Linked DNA regions of Cricetulus griseus. The protein of the gene in region 1 interacts with the protein of each later gene in a pairwise test. Links are inferred from orthologs where the notes say so. Each region holds a gene or a part of one and is shown on either strand. Other genes may lie near its edges.

Region 1 (8,219 bases):
AACTGGATGCAGACATGTAGAAGACTGCAGATAGACTCAATCCTATCGCCATACACAAAACTTAAGTCAAGATGATCAAAGACCTCAACATAAACCCAGCCACACTAACCCTATTAGAAGACAAAGTAGAAAATAGCCTTTAATTAATTAAAGGAAAAGGAGACTGATTTCTGATCATTACACTAGTAGCACAGACACTGAGAGTAACAATTGATAAATGGGACCTCCTGAAACTGAGAAGCTTCTGTAAGGCAAAGGAGACAGTCAGCAAGACAAAACGGCAGCCCACAGAATGGGAAAAGATCTTCACCAATCCCACATCTGACAGTGGGTTGATCTCCAAAATATACAAAGAACTCAAGAAGCTAGTCTCCAAAACACCAAACAATCCAATTAAAAAGTGGGGTACAGAACTAAATAGACAATTGTCAATAGAGGAATCTAAAATGGCTGAAGGACACATAAGAAAGAGTTCAACATCCTTAGCCATTAGGGAAATGCAAATCAAAACAACTCTGATATACCATCTTACTCCTGTTAGAATGGCTAAAATCAAAAACACCAATGACAGATTATGCTGGAGAGGATGTGGAGAAAGGGGAACACTTCTCCACTGCTGGTGAGAGTGCAAACTTGTACAGCCACTTTGGAAATCAGTATGGTGATTCCTCAAGAAAATGGGAATGAGTCTACCACAAGATCCAACAATTCCACTCTTAGGCATATACCCAAAAGAAGCACATTCATACAAGGACATCTGTTCAACGATGTTCATAGCAGCACTATTTGTAATAGCCAGAAACTGGAAGCAGCTTAGATGCCCCTCAACTGAAGAATGGATAGAGAAAATGTGGTACATTTACACAATGGAGTACTACTCAGTGGAAAAAAACAATGGAATCTTGAAATTTGCAGGAAAATGGATGGAACTAGAAGAAACCATTCTGAGTGAGATAACCCAATCACAAAAAGACAAACATCATATGTACTCACTCATATGTGGATTTTAGACATAGAGTAAAGGATTACCAGCCTACAATCCACACTGCCAGAGAAACTAGTAAACAAGGAGGACCCTAAGAGAGACATACATGGTCCCCTGGGGAAAGGGGAAAGGGGAAAGGTTCAAGATCCCCTGAGCAAATTGAGAGCATGGGAAGACGGGGAGGAAGCTAGGAGAATGAGAAGGGAAGAAGGGAGGGGTGAGGAGGACATGAGGGAGCAGAAAGGTTGAGTCAGGGGAAGAATAGAAGATAACAAGAATGGAGATGTCATAATAGAGGGAGACATTTTAGTTTTATAGAGAAATCAGGCACGAGGGAAATGTCTGGAGATCTACAAAGATGACACCAGCTAACAATCTAAGCAACAGAGGAGAGGCTACCTTAAATGCTCTCCCGTGATAATGAGATTGATGACTGACTTATATGCCATCCTATAGCCTTCATCCAGCAGCTGGTGGAAGTAGAAGCAGACACCCACAACTAATCATTGAACTGAACTGGAATCCAGATGCAGAAAAGGACGAGTGAAGAGCAAAGGGGTCCAGACCAGGCTGGAAACCCACAGAAACAACTGATCTGAACATGGGGGAACTCTTGCTCCCCAGACTGATAGCTGGGTTACCAGCATGGGACTGATCCAGACCCCAGGAACATGGGTTTCATTGAGGAAACCCCGGAAACCTACTCTCTTCCTACCCCAAGGGGCAAAATCACACAGAACTGGGGCTCTTAAATGGATCTGGAGGTGACAGATTTGACAGAGCTAAGGATGGAGGGATGAGTGTTCTGGCCTTAATGCAGGTTCTACATGTGATATGTTTGGTTGTATTTTTCTATCAGAACAGTGTTTCTTAAACCCTTGGGATTTCCTGACAGGACCTCCTTTGAAACACATCAGTTTATGCTAGGGGAATGACTTTGGGGGTGGGGGGTGATTGTCAGAGGAACCAATCAGGTGATTAGAAGGTTGGAATTTTCAGCAAACGTCTACCTCTGGAAGGATTTGACATTTAGTTAAGTGATCAAAGGCTAATGATTTGATAAAATTTGCCTACATAATGGAACTCCACAAATACCTCTAAACAACTGGGTTCAGACATTGAAGATGCTGGGAGGCAGGTGTGTCCAGAGAAGGCCAGAAGGTTTACGACACTACCCTGTCAAACAGCTCACCCTTTATCATTACCATTTGGCCCCTCCTGAGCTGCATGCTTCTTAAAGTTGTGATCCTAAGTAAATTACTCTCCTGTGTTCTGAGAGACAGCTATTGAACCTGAGGAGCAGCTTAGGGTAACCCCTGCATGGCTAACCAGTTACAAGTACAGGTGGCCCTGATATGGGATTGGTACTTGAAGTAAAAGATCATCTTTTAGGGCCGAGCCCCTAACTTCTCGGAACCTGACATGTAGCTATTATCAGAGTGGAACTGGACTGGAGTTCCTCAGTAGTGCCAAGTCTCTCCAGGTCTAGACAGTTAATGTTTCTCTTTTCCTAATTAATGTGATTGAAACAGATGCCACCTCTGATGGGAGGTAGAGAGGTTCAAGCCAGCCTGGCAGTGAGGTGTGAGTGGCAGCCAGCTGACCAAACAAGGGCTATTGTGTGTCACACTGACCCGGGCTGGCCACCTGAGCACAGCCAGCAGCAATTCTTCCTTCCTGCAGAAGCCTCGTTCCCACCTGAGATGCCCGGAGAGAAACCATGAGCTCAGAAAAACACCATATTGTTCTGTGATGTCACCTCTGGAATGTTCTGAGTGTTTTGGTGACCAGCTTATGCATAGGACCTATACCTGGCACCTCACATTGGTATGGCTTTTTACTTATATAGAAATCGTAGTGTAAAACCAGGAAGAGCTGCAATGATTTCTTCTTGTAAGAGGGCTTCATATCAGTTCATTCCTGTCTTGGTTTTTTGTTCAGTGATCAGTGTCGATCAGTTCCTGATCACTGAGCAGTAAGACTTCTGGCCAGGCGCCATGTACACATGCCTTGAGACTGTGATTTTTATAAGGTATAAAATTAGTCAGAAGGACATAAATGTGTAGAAAGAGGTTATGTGTTTCAGGTGAGCCACTGAGGCCCTGAGGATGGGTTGAGAAGGAGAAATCTGATTCTTTCTTTTTCACAGCACTCGAGGCCAATTTTTACAAGAAAGAGAGATACCAGATCTGAAAGCCTAGAAATTCCAATCAATGTGGTTCTACCTCAGGTAGGGACAATCATGGAAGAATGTAACTTGCTAGAATAACCCTGTTTCCAAGCCTTACAGAATGAACAGCGAAGTCAGCCACTCAGATTCTTGTCATGTTGGTGTTGTTTTCCTGCCCATTTGTCTTGAGGAGGACACATGGATTCTCTGAACCTTGGGGTCCTCTGGCCTTGAATGAGGAGACTGAGTTGGATGGTCAGGTCCTCCAGCACTAGCCTTTCAAGATTTGTTGATACTATGACAAAAGTCTAACCTTCCCAAAGGAGACCCTTCATTGCATGGTAGTGTATAACCACTCAGGACATCTGTAGAGAACTAGAGTCAACCTTGAATCCAGATGCATAAGAATGAACACAGGAGCTGAAACCCCAGAATGGAGCCCACTTGCAATGGTCAAGAGGATTAAGCCCTGCCATGGGCCAAAGATGGTTTACTGGGGATGAATGTTCACTTGTTTCTTTTGAAGCCAGTGAATGATTAAAACACTTATAGCTTGTGGTCTCCAGATCTCCTGCACACAGCAACTTTCTCAGTGGGACCCCCTTTTACTTGAGTGTTCCTTCTGTTGCTATGTCACAAAGGGGTGGCCTTGCTTTCTCCAGTGTTACCCAAGAGCTCATTGGAAGACCAGGGTCATGCAACCAGTGGAGGAGAAATGTAGGATGGAGGGATCCAAGGCACAGGTAATTTCCCTAAAAGTTTGGTCTCAGGAGGTATGTACAAAGAGGATGGATCTCTGGCTGGTGTTCTCTATTAGTGTAATTATAATGAGCTCAGCAAATATGGTGAGAAGGAGACAGAAACACAGGACAAGAGAACCACCTGGGTATTTTTTTTCCTTACAGCATTGTAGTAAGCAGCCACAGTTACATCTCTTTCAGCTCATGATAGCTAAGCCAGATTATTAGGCAACTATGTCCTGGGCATCCTATAGAAGAACAAGGAACCTTGCTAGGTCTGATCCCTGACACATAAACTACACATCTGTGCATGAGGGTGGCCGTGGTTCCTTTGGTACCTTTATTAGCCCACATGTTAGGGGCAGACAGGAGATACCAGCCCAGATGTGGGAGTGGGAATGGGGCTGGGAATAAGATTTGAAAGTAGGTGTATTACTTGCTGTTCACATTGTTGTGACCAAATACCTGGCAAGAAGCAAGTTAAGGGAGGAAGTCTTTATTTTGGATCTTGGTTGAGGGGTAAATCTGTTGTGAAGTGGAAGCTATGGGGTGGGGCCGCTGCCTCACATCACTGCAGATCCATGTTTTTCTCAGTCCAGGATGCTAGTTCATGAGCACTGTAAGACCCTTGGAAAGCTGAGGCTTCCAGAATCTTAGCCCAGGACCTCGGCCACCCCAATCACAGAATGGAGGCGAAAGCTAGATGCAAATTGCATGAGGCTTTATTGTAGTTTAACGAGCTAACACCATGTTAGCTCGGGTCTTTGACCCACCCACCATGGCAGATGGCTAGCAAAGACAGTTTGAAGCTGCTGCATACAGATCTTTATAGGGCAGCATAAGGGGAGTGTTTAGGGGTATGCACAGGCTCAGGATTGGTGTGCCTCCAGGCTTGGAGGGTTTGCCCTGTGTTGATTGGTCAACTGGCTGTTATGGCCCATAGGCCCTCCCAGGGTGGTTGCTATGCTTTGTGCGTCATTGCTGTGCGCTTGTCCATAAAGCACACCCAGGGTCATAAAGCATAGCGCTATCAGCTAACTTCTGATTGGCTCCTTGTCACGAGGCAGGCATCTGACTTTCTAGTGACTAACTTCTGATTGTTTCCTTGTCACGAGGCAGGCATCTGACTTTCTAGTGACTAAGACAAGGTCATAGAGCACGTGTTTGGTCATTATGGCTGCCAAAAGGGAAGCTGGTCCCTTCAAGCACTAGCCACATTAAGTATGGGCCTCCCCTCTGTTAGTCCTTCCCCATAAAGTCCCCACAGACACATCAAGGATGTGTGCCTTGCTAATGCCCTGGGTGTTTCTTAATCTAGCAAGCTGACACAAAGCCTTCATTACTGCCATGCCATAGAAAGATTAGAAAGATCCATCTACCCCTGGCATGACTTTGTCCCTAGCTCCCAGCGCCAGCTTAGCAGTCAAGGAGAAAAGGTGTTTGAGGAGTCTTGGGTTTGTTCTGGTCCTTTCAGGCCTACTTCCTGTGCTGTGGGACCTGGATCTTGGAAGGCAGAAGAATATGGAAGGAAGAGGTCACTGCTGTCTGGAGATTTTTCATGGCCAGCCAGGCTTAGTCAGCAGTCATCTCTAGGTCACTTAAGTAAGCAGCTGGTGTTGAAAAGCAGGAAGAGGATAATTCTTCAGTGTGGCAACACCTGAAGGAGGAACGAGGTGTTAGTGGTCCTCGGAGGACATCTTGAACATGAAATTTGGGTTTAAGTAGAGGTGCAGAGGTTCACATAACTAAGCAGTCCTGGTCTGGGAGTGGTCCAGCCCAGCATCATTGTGTCATCCCCAGTCTCTTCTGCAGGGTGGTCTGACAAGTTATGATGTGTGAAATGTCTGAGAGACAATCTTCCTTCGGCCTGGCACCAGCCTTCTCAGCCTTTACCTTTTTCAAACATAAGACTACAGCAGAACTTTTTTGGTGTCCATTGTTTCAATAATCTGATATCTAGAAGGATGGACTTAAGAATCTCTTTAGAATATCTTCATTCCTGCCAGGATGTTACAGGCACAAGTCAGACAACCTGTCAGGATACCCTAGACCGGTCCTCTTGGGTAGGGAAGTAGTTTACTAGATGATGTAAACTGACCCACCCACTTTGGGAGCCCATTCCACATAGAGGGATACTCCCTGAGCCAAGACACATGGGGGTGGGCCTAGGCCCTATCCCAAAGGATAAGATAGACTCTGATGACACCCTATGGAAGGCCTTACCATCCAGGGGGAGCAGAAAGGATAGGTGATAGGTAGGGTTTTAGTTAGGGGTGGGTAGTAGGGGAGGAGGGGAGGGAGCGGGAACTGGGATTGTCATGTAAAACAATCTTGTTTCTAATTAAAAATCTGCAAAAAAAAAAAAAACCCTGACCCCACCCATCTGGCTGTGAGAAGGGCCTATATGCTCATGTACCTCCCCAAATGGGATAGTGGGGCAGGATTATTATGAGAAACAAGGTGAAGAAGAATATCTTGTTGGCCACAGGGCCATGCAAGTATAAGGCAGAGATTTCACAGCTGTTGGAATTGGGAGACTCTGTAGGGAGACACCGTAACCACGCCTCCTAAGGGGTGGTGGCTACAGCTGTGCCTGACCACACCCTGACAGGCATGGTCAAGGTGAGGTCAGGATGATGCATGATGGGTTTTTAAGGAGCTGCAAGGCACGTGGGCTCCCCTTCTCTCTGGCCTGCCTGCCTTGCGGTCCCTGGCATGCTCTGGCTTGTGTTGGCTGGCGTTTATCAGTATAAAAATATCTTAACCTTATGGACTATGGATCACCGGCTCTCCTTATAATACTCAGTAACAAGGACAGAGCTGAGGTTTAACCCAGGTCAGTGTCCAGCCTGTCATGCTATTCAGTGGGTTCAGGTGATGTCTTAGCTCTAATTCTTCTCTTGCTTCTAGAATCTAGTGCATCTTCCCCCCTCATCTAGACTGCAACTGCTAACCCCCAAGCTGCCAGTATGTATCTGCTCCAGGTAGCTTCATTCTGAGTTGAGTTCATTCTCTTTGGAAGGGAATTATAACAGTACCTCTGTCTCCTGCTCTACTGGTTGGCTGGAGTTCTCGATTGCACTGCAAATGCTATGATTCACTAGTTATCACCTTTAGGTCTTTTCAGGTCTTATTGATTTCACATTTTTCTTCCTCACATTGAACACGTTTTTTCTTCTAGCACATTAGCTTGCAAGCCATAGTGTTATTTCCTGTCCAAGCAACTGATCTCCTTCTATACACAGACTCACTTTTCCAGGCATTCAAGCTTCCCCAGTGAGCTGTTTCCTTTAGACATTGTTAGTGCTAGATTGTCAATGAAAGATTAGCGTTAGATCGTCAAGGAGAGATCTCTGTCTGGATCTGAATGCAGCTGACAGTACTTCCTAGTGCCCACTCCATTTCCCTTTATTTTTTCCTCCTTCCTCTTTGGCTCACAGCAATGCCAACTGAAATAGCTTCAGAGCAAGATTTTAGGAGAGTCATCAATTAGCTAAGATGATTACATCGGACATCTTTATTCTCTTTGCTGTTAGCATTAAAAATATATCAAAACCAATCATATTTACCTTGTTAGCATTTAGTAAAACAAACAATGTCTTTGGCTATTTAGCATAGGTGAGAAAGTTTTTTGGGTTTTTTGTTTTTATGACAGCAGCACTCAGCTGTGAAGGTTTTTCCTTCTAGGACCCTGGTGCCCTTCAGTTTCACATGCATTAAAAGTGCTTCAGCTGGCTGAGCATTCCCTACTGTTAACACTCAATAGTGTTGACGAAGCAGGTGCTTTAGAAGCTTGGTCAGCCATCTTGGGCTTCCTGGGAGCATGCGGATGTTTCTTCTGGGTGATGGTATCTACATCTTTCATGTAGGGGAGAGAAAGAACTTCAGTGCTGTTTCCTCAGTTTTCTGCTACTATAGCAAATGTCCAATGACAGACAGTTCACAAAGAATGAAGAGCATGGCACTATTCTAGCACCTGGTCATTATTTGGCAAGGGCCTTTGTGTTGTGTCCTACCATGGTGGAGGGCATCATTTGGTGAGATACACAGCAACTACAGAGAGCTCACTTTATAACAGACGTTCCTGCAACAGCCCATCACGATCCATCCACATTGAGAAGGTCTCACTTCCCAAATACCATTAGTATTCGACTTTGGAGGTCAAGTTCCCAGCACATGAACTATAGAGGACACACTCAAATCATAGCAGTGCATGTCAGCTAAGCCTGGATGTTCACTGTCTAGTCCCGCTCCCAAACTCTTTAGGCAGAAGGCCACCTAACCCCAGTAACTCCATCCGAGAAGATTTCTCCTTGAGAGTTCT
Region 2 (7,958 bases), about 23 Mb from region 1:
GAACTAACAAGTGGGACTTTGACTCAACATGATTGGAGGTAGGAGCTTCTCCCAAAAGTCCTCTGATCCCCAAACACACACTATGGTACTAGCACACCTGTACACTGCCCCCCCCCACACACACACACCAGCTATACACATCACACATTCCATACACATACCGTATTCATATACACACGCTATATACACATTTACACACATACATACACATACAAAAATAATAATTTTGTAAAAAGTAGAGATTTTGTAAGATGCCTTGATTAGAGCAATTTATAAGAGAAAGTGTTTAATTGAGGTTAATGATTCCAGAGGATTAGCATCCACACTTTCAGAGTAAAGGCATGGTATCAGGAATAGCTGGGAGCTCACCTATGGAACTGTAAGCAGAAGGCAGAGCGAGCCACTGAGAATGGCACCAGTTTTCTGAGAAACCTCAAAGCACAGCAAGGCCACACCTCCTAATCCTTCCCAAACAGTTCCACCAACTGGGATCAAAGAATTCAAACACAACCTGGTGGCGGTGGTGGCACATGCCTTTAATCCCAGCACTTGGGAGGCAGAGGCAGGCAAATCTCTGTGCGTTCACGGCCAGCCTGATCTACAAAGGGAGTTCTAGGACTGCCAGGACTGTTACACAACGATACCCCTGACTCAAAAACCAAAGGGGGGGGGGAGAATTAAAACATATGAGCCCATGGGGGCTATTCTCATTCAAACCACCACAGTCAGTTCTTGAGATGTTGTATTTCCAATGAAGAAGTTACATCTCTATTAGCAATTTGATAGGGAAAAGAGGAATGTCATTCACAGACACTACCAATTCTCTGATTTCTTCTCATTCCCCAGTGCTCAGTCTTACCTGGCCCCCAAAAACTTGTTATTTTCATGTCTGTTTTTAAAATGATATGGATGAAGAATAACAATTTAAATATATAATCATGTCCCTTCGAATTCCAAAAGTACTCATAAAAATAGCAGCATAAATTTATTGAAGGTTTACTTTGACCCAGACATTTTCATATCATTACAACAACCCTTTAAAGCATCAACTGGCATTGCTCTAGAATCTCACCACCAGACCCCAGGGGTAATACCCTATGTTCTGATACCTGCCTACAAAAAACGAAACAAACAAACAAACAAAAAAACACATTCAATCTTCTATCATGTCAGACCTGTAAGTGGCAGTGATATTTATTGTTCAGCACAAGCCAGGAATTTAACATAAAACTAAAGTACAAGAAATGCAAAGCTGAGGCTGGGCATGGGGCACAGGCCTTTAAACCTAGCACTTGGGAGGCAAAGGCTGGCAGATCTCTGTGAGTTCTAAGCCTTGTAGGCCAACTTGGTCTAGATAGTGAGTTCCAGGCCAGTCAGAGCTATTAGAGACCTCCGAACAACAAAAACAAAATCAAAGAGAAATAAAGGAAATGTGCAGTAGGTGGCAGCACATTTCCACAGCTGTCAACCACCCACCCTCGAGGCTCGAGAGTCATTTGATAAAGTCAAATCTCTACGACCCAGAAACAAACCAGGCACCGATGTATCCAGCTAGTACAGTTGCCCATATGTGGTCGCGTAATTATTCTATCTGTACTGATGATTATGCAGGGTATGCTTCTACCGCCACGAGGTTAGAGACGAAGCCACAGCTGTGTAAAGCGTGCTTCCAGGAACCAAGAGTTTACAGCACCCTGAGGCCTTTTTAATGCCACACGTTAGCACTTTGGAACATTTAGCATAAAACTCTTCATTTGCATTCCAAGGACCAACAATACCCAGTGTAGTGTTGTTTAAAGATATAAGTCGGACTTTCAATTCCCTAGCGTTTAATTCAGCTGCCACCTAATAAGCTCGCGATCTTGTACGCGTTTAACCACATGAAAAATTAGGTTAATAACAGAGGTTTGTGGGAATTCGGTGTACTATGTGGAAGTTCTTAACCTTTGAAAGCCTGGAGCATACTCGGAAAGACAACCAACAAACGGAAGAAAAAGTAAATCAATTAGGCTTTATATTTATTAAATTGCTAAGTATAATAATTATTAGCTTTCGTTACACCTAAATTTCATTGGTCACCTAAATCTGATTTTTGTTACGGTATTCTCCCGTTTTACTCGGGGAAAGCAGCCAAGGCTCAGAATTCTCTGGCACCAAACGAAGACAAAGGAAGTCAACACGTTCTGTCTTCACCTGCCCACCCAACTCTCAGCCCCGCCCCTGGCCCTGCCCAGGCCTCGCCCCGCGAGTCCCCGCCCCCTGCGAGGCTGCTCCCCGTCCCCAAACCCTCCCCTGCCCCGCTGGTCTCCGCCCCAGGCCCGCGCAGTTTGAGACCACGCCCCTTCTGGTGACTAAGCCCCTCCCACGTACGGCTTCCGTCGCAAAAAGATGTACATACAGATCGCTTATTGGCTGCTAGCAAATACTCCCTCTTCTCATTAGTTGACACCGTCCGGGTCGAAGTTCCACGGAAGATGCTTTCAGCTACTTGGGCTGATGGTCACAGACACTTGCACTTCCGTTTCCGGTGTGTCCTGGAGCCATGGCTACCGCCAAGGAGGTGAAGCTTCTAATTAGGTGCTGCAGATGGTGCCGCAGCCTTCGAGGATCCCAGTCCCGAGTAAGTGCACCCTTCCTCTGCTGGCAAAGAGCTGGTTTCCAGGGACATCTCTCGGAGGAGGAGCGACCTCGGCGATGCCTCCCGCAGCAGGCACGTGCAACCTTTCTGTTTCTTTCGCGGTCTGCAGGCTTTCGCCGCCCTTGTGCCCGGTGTGTCCCAGGTAGACAACAATTCCGATTTTCTGGGGAAGACGCCCCATCGTAAGCATCCTGGCATCCTGCGTCTTCCGCACGTGCGGCTGCCGCAAGCACTGGCTGACGCAGCACAGTTATTGCTTCTTGGTGAGAAACTGCGGGAAGGGAAAACCAAAGAAACAAACGAGGCCACCACATAGTGATGTCTTTCCATCTGTGGCCACAGAGAGACCCGTCCGCAATGTAGAGAAGCAGGTGCAGGCGCTCACCAACTATCTCTGGAGCCGACATTTGCCAGTAGAGCCTGAGGAGTTGCAAAGACGGGCTGCGGATCTTGAGAAAAAATTCCTAGAAAGCCAAGGTAGGATTTAAGACTAAAAGTGAACCATATTGAAATGTCAGTGAGAAGTTAGGAGCAAGGAATAACAAATCTCTCGGATAAATGCTGCCGTTTTTTTGTTGTTGTAGTAACAGCAGTAGTAATGCTCTACTAGAAGGTAGATTGGGCCAGAGGTTGCCCTTGGAGATTGGATAAAGGTCAGAAATTTATATATTTGGGTTTTTTGTTTTCTTCATTTTTTTCCTACCTCTTCAAGTCTGATAGATTATGACTATATGTTGATTCTGGTAGAATAAAGGCCGTATAGGTGGCTGGCAGTAAGTAGTGAGATCTACTTCAGGAGTAGAAAGTGATTACATTTCAGATTATTTTCAAGATTGTGAACTTTATATTGCAAATTTGCTCCTTATTCTTGTATTCCCTTCATGTCCCACGGTACCTGGTTCAGAGTAGCTGTCCTAGTGTTCTATTGCTGTGAAGAGACAACTCTTATAAAAGAAAGCATTTTAATTGGCGCTAGCTTACAGTTTCAGTCTATTGTCACCATGTCGGGGAGCATGACTGCACGAGTGTGGACATGGTACTGGAGAAGTAACTGAGATTCCAACATCTGAGCCTGCAGGCAGCAGGAAGAGACTATGGGCTTAGCATGGCCTTTTGAAACTTCAACGCCTACCTCCAGTGACACACCTCCCCCAAAAAGGCCACCTCTCATAATCCTTCAAATAGTGCCATTCCCTGGTGACAGAGCATTCAGTCAGTGAGCCGGTGGCAGCTGTTCTCTGTCAAACCACTGCAGTGGGTGTTTATAGAATTTTACTACGTGGTCCTGAGCTCAACACACTCATGAGTCCTAGATTCCAAGCGCCTTTCTATTGGAATATTGAAGATGTCTCACTACTAAGTGTAAAGGAAGTGAAAATGTCCATGAAGATGTCCTTATTCTAGCTTTTAAATTTTTATCACATGGGTAGGAGAGAGAGCACAGAGTAAAAGCATGTGCCACAGAACCTGATGACCTTCTACCAAATGGTTGGAGGTGAGAACTGACTCAGACCTATACACACACAATAAATAAATGTAAAAAAAATTAGTTTTTTTATCAGACTTCTGTTTACTCTGAAGCTTGGATAGGTTAAGTTGACTAAGGTACTATCAGAGGCAACATACTGTTCGGTCCACTCTGGGACAGTGGTGGTTTACTCTCTCCAGAGGTTTCTCTGGGTTTGGCTTCTCTTGAACTTGGAGCGTTTTCTCAGGTGGGCGTGGGGGAGGATTAGGTGGGCAGTGTACTACATTGGATCTGACCAGTTCTCTCAGGTCCTCACCTCCAGCCCTTCTCACCCTAGACTCAACTCAGACAGAGGAGAAACTTCGTGGGGCAGTACTGAATGCCCTGCGCAGAACTACCTACCATTGGCAGAAACTCAGGTAAGGACTTGTAGAAAGGGTACAGAGAAGAAACATTGAATATAAGGACTTGTAGAAAGGGTACAGAGAAGAAACGTTGAATTGGAGGAGAGCTGAGAGAATTAATCACCTCTGTGTTTGAGAAAGCTTCCTGGACTGTTCTGTATTGGGAAGGGAAACCCAGAAGAGTCCTCTGCAAATTTTTCATTTCCTAAACGTCCGAGGGTCACTGTGGGGCTGGTGTATTTCCTGGTGGGGGATGACTGATTTTTATTTTCTATTTATTTATTTGCAGTTATAATGAAGAGCTGAGTCTGATATATATGGCAGCAAGATTGGACGGTGGTTTTGCAGCAGTTTCTAGGGCATTCCATGAGGTGAGTCTCTCATGTTCCCACCTGACCCTGTTATCGTTGTTTTTATTACCTGTAAATTAGTCTTTTGTGAAAGGAGTTCTTGAAATGTTATAAACACGTTAATTATCCTATTATCCTTTGAAATAATTCTATGGCCTGAGAAATGTTTAGCATCACTGAGATGTTTCCTATCTCAAAGTATTTTTATTGAATCTTATAAAGCATTCATGTTCCACCTCTGTCACGGTCCCCTAACCTTCACTAAGGCTAACTGACCTTTCTGTGGGTGTCATGTATTTTCTTCAGATCCAGGCTCGAGTTCCAGAGTTCCAGCCACAAACGTTGATGGACTTTGGATCCGGCACTGGTTCTGTCACCTGGTAAATAATTTTCTTAGCCCTTGGTGGTGTCAGTTCTAATTCTAGAGAGTCAGATCTTCAATACCACCTCAGTGTCAAAAAACTGGGATACTAGAGAACAAGAAAGTTAGACCTAAAATGTTGTTGCCCTCAGATTAGACAAGGCAAAAGAAGGTGTTCACATTAGGGTCAGATTCAAAGCAGTGCACATGAAAAAGGTTCAGTACTTGGGTTAAAAGAGAAAGCAATTTAGTGTAGGGAATAGATTTTACATGCCAATCAAAAATTTTTTGTCGACGGGCATTGGTGGCACACTCCTTTAATGCCAGCACTCAGGAGGCAGAGGCAGGTGATCTCTATGAGTTCGAGGCCAGCCTGGTCTCCAGAGCGAGTACCAGGATAGGCTCCAAAGCTACACAGAGAAACCCTGTCTTGAAGAAAGAAAAAAAAAAATTGTCTACAAGTCAGTTTTGTTTTTTTTTAATCATCTGCCTTTTATTTCAGAAGTTGTAAATGTACCAAGAACATAAAATAACACTGTTAGCTTATCTGTTTTAATGTAATGCCCTGATTCCCCAGGGGCGGGATTGAGAGCAGGTGGGTTTCTTAGAGGAATGACCGTGTCGGGACTGGAGAGATGACTGACTCAGAGGTTAAGAGCACTGGCTGCTCTTCCACTGGTCCTGAGTTCAATTCTCAGCAACCACATGGTGGCTCACAACCATCTATAGTAAGATTTGGTACCCTCTTCTAGCATGCCAAAACTGTATACATAATAAATAAATAAATCATTAAAAAAAAAAAGGAATGACTGTGTGTCATAAAAATTGGTGGTTTTCATCTTGCCATCTCAGGGCTGCTCACAGTACTTGGGGCCAGAGCCTCCGTGAATATGTGTGTGTGGACAGTTCAGCAGCCATGTTGGGTTTGGCTGAAAAGCTACTAAAAGGTGAGACCAAGCTCTAATCCAGGGATTTCCAAAAGTTGAGGGAGTTAGGAAAGAATTTTATTGGGATGTAGAGGAGAGAGTTATAAATTAAGATAATCGGCCAGGCGTTGGTGGCTCATGCCTTTAATCTCAGCACTCGGGAGGCAGAGGCAGGCAGATCTCTGTGAGTTCGAGGCCAGCCTGGTCTCCAGATCGAGTGCCAGGATAGGCTCCAAAGCTACACAGAGAAACCCTGTCTCAAAAAGCCAAAATTAATTAATTAATTAATTGAGATAATCTGGGCTCCTTCCAGTATTACAGTGAGACAATATTAGAGGCCTTTATGGGACTCTGGTTGGTTGGATGGGATTAGTAGGCCACGTTTTTAATTACAGTCCTGCACCTCTCAGCTGGGGTTATCTGAGGAATGTCTCTTCACTGAGTGTAAACTTTGGCTATAAAGTTTATGTTCTGTCTTTGCTGCCACATCTTTCTTCCGTAGGTGGTTCAGAATCAGGGAAGCCCTGTATCCCAGGTGTCTTTTTCAGACAGTTTCTACCTGTGTCACCCAAGGCAAGTAGCAAGTAAGTTATTCTCAGATCTAGTGTGGCAGGTGGACAGCTGTGGTTTCAGCCTTGAAACCCACCATTGTGTGTTAGAAGACAAAAGAAGCAATAGAAGACATTTAAGACACCCATAATCTCAGGACTCAGGAGCTGAGGCAGGAGGATTACCATTGGTTCAGGTTCAACCTGGAATACATAATGAGATATCTTGGGGTCAGGAGGATTTAGAGGCTAGGAATTTGTTGTGCTTTTGGATAGGGCGATGTCAGATCTGTTTGTCCCTTATCTTGGTCCTCAGGTCCAGTTTGATGTGGTCGTGTCAGCCTTCGCCCTCAGTGAACTACCCAGCAAGGCTGACCGAGTTGAGGTAGTTCGGAACTTGTGGCGTAAGACAAGCCATTTTCTGGTGAGTTGAAATCCTTTCCCCCTCAAGTTTTAAAGCAGCTTTGTGGTTCTGTGCCTTGTCCTCTGGTTATCACATAGTGTTTTTTCTCTTTTATAGCTCTTTGCACTTCCTCAGGGTATCCACCTTTCACACAATGCCCACTTCCCTGCCAGTGTCCTGACAGCGCTACTGGCATTTGCTTTGGGATTCAGAGCGCCTGCTTATTTCCTCTGTTTGTAAACAGGTGTTGGTGGAGAACGGAACAAAAGCTGGGCACCATCTTCTCATGGATGCCAGGAACCTGGTCCTTCAGGTGAGGTTCCTTGTCCTCAGTCCTTCCCCTTTCTGTCGTAAGGTTACTGTTACTGCCTTGGAGCTGGTGGCTGTCCCACATCTGTAATGGTGACTCATGATACAGCAAAGTGGTTGGCAAATGAGAGTTTCTAGGTCAAACCCCCAGCACAGTACCTGTTGCCCTGGGAGCTATGCATATTCATGTCTTGACAGAGCTCACCCTGCAGACTGCAGTTAAGCACCTCAGAGATGGGTGCTGCTCACTCCTTTCAAAAACTTACTTTGCTGACTCCTGATTGACGGTGTTGCTGACCCAAGGACTTGTCTCAGTGAAACCATGTGAACCAATATAGAGTCCTAAATTTAATTGAGTGAGAATGAGGGTTTTTTTTTTTTTTTTAGTGGCGGTTGCTGGTAGGAGACTACAGTACCAAGCACCAAGTCCCTGCCTTTCTGTAGCCAGCTTAACTGGGTGAACATGGTTTGTCGGTATTAGAATTATTCTGGGGAGTTCTCAGTTCTCTGCGTGCCGAGGTTGGATTATGAAGATAGATTCCACAGGGTCA

The links. The genes of interacting proteins can lie anywhere in the genome.
Region 2: the proteins of Cby2 (region 1) and Mettl17 interact in binary tests that used the Homo sapiens proteins (3 or more experiments, as listed by UniProt). The link is inferred for Cricetulus griseus from reciprocal best matches to the Homo sapiens genes CBY2 and METTL17.

What each region holds. Positions count from the first base shown.
Region 1 is NW_023276807.1:229,958,231-229,966,449, reverse strand, and holds the start of Cby2 (protein chibby homolog 2), read left to right. Parts: upstream 1-2,737; coding exon 2,738-2,812; intron 2,813-3,134; coding exon 3,135-3,215; intron 3,216-3,850; coding exon of another isoform or gene 3,851-3,898; intron 3,899-8,219.
Region 2 is NW_023276807.1:206,953,322-206,961,279, forward strand, and holds the start of Mettl17 (methyltransferase-like protein 17, mitochondrial), read left to right. Parts: upstream 1-2,468; 5' UTR 2,469-2,542; coding exon 2,543-2,620; intron 2,621-2,747; coding exon 2,748-2,901; intron 2,902-2,980; coding exon 2,981-3,115; intron 3,116-4,443; coding exon 4,444-4,525; intron 4,526-4,799; coding exon 4,800-4,881; intron 4,882-5,166; coding exon 5,167-5,240; intron 5,241-6,073; coding exon 6,074-6,168; intron 6,169-6,649; coding exon 6,650-6,720; intron 6,721-7,011; coding exon 7,012-7,119; intron 7,120-7,342; coding exon 7,343-7,411; intron 7,412-7,958. UniProt on the Homo sapiens protein: Mitochondrial ribosome (mitoribosome) assembly factor. Binds at the interface of the head and body domains of the mitochondrial small ribosomal subunit (mt-SSU), occluding the mRNA channel and preventing compaction of the head domain towards the body.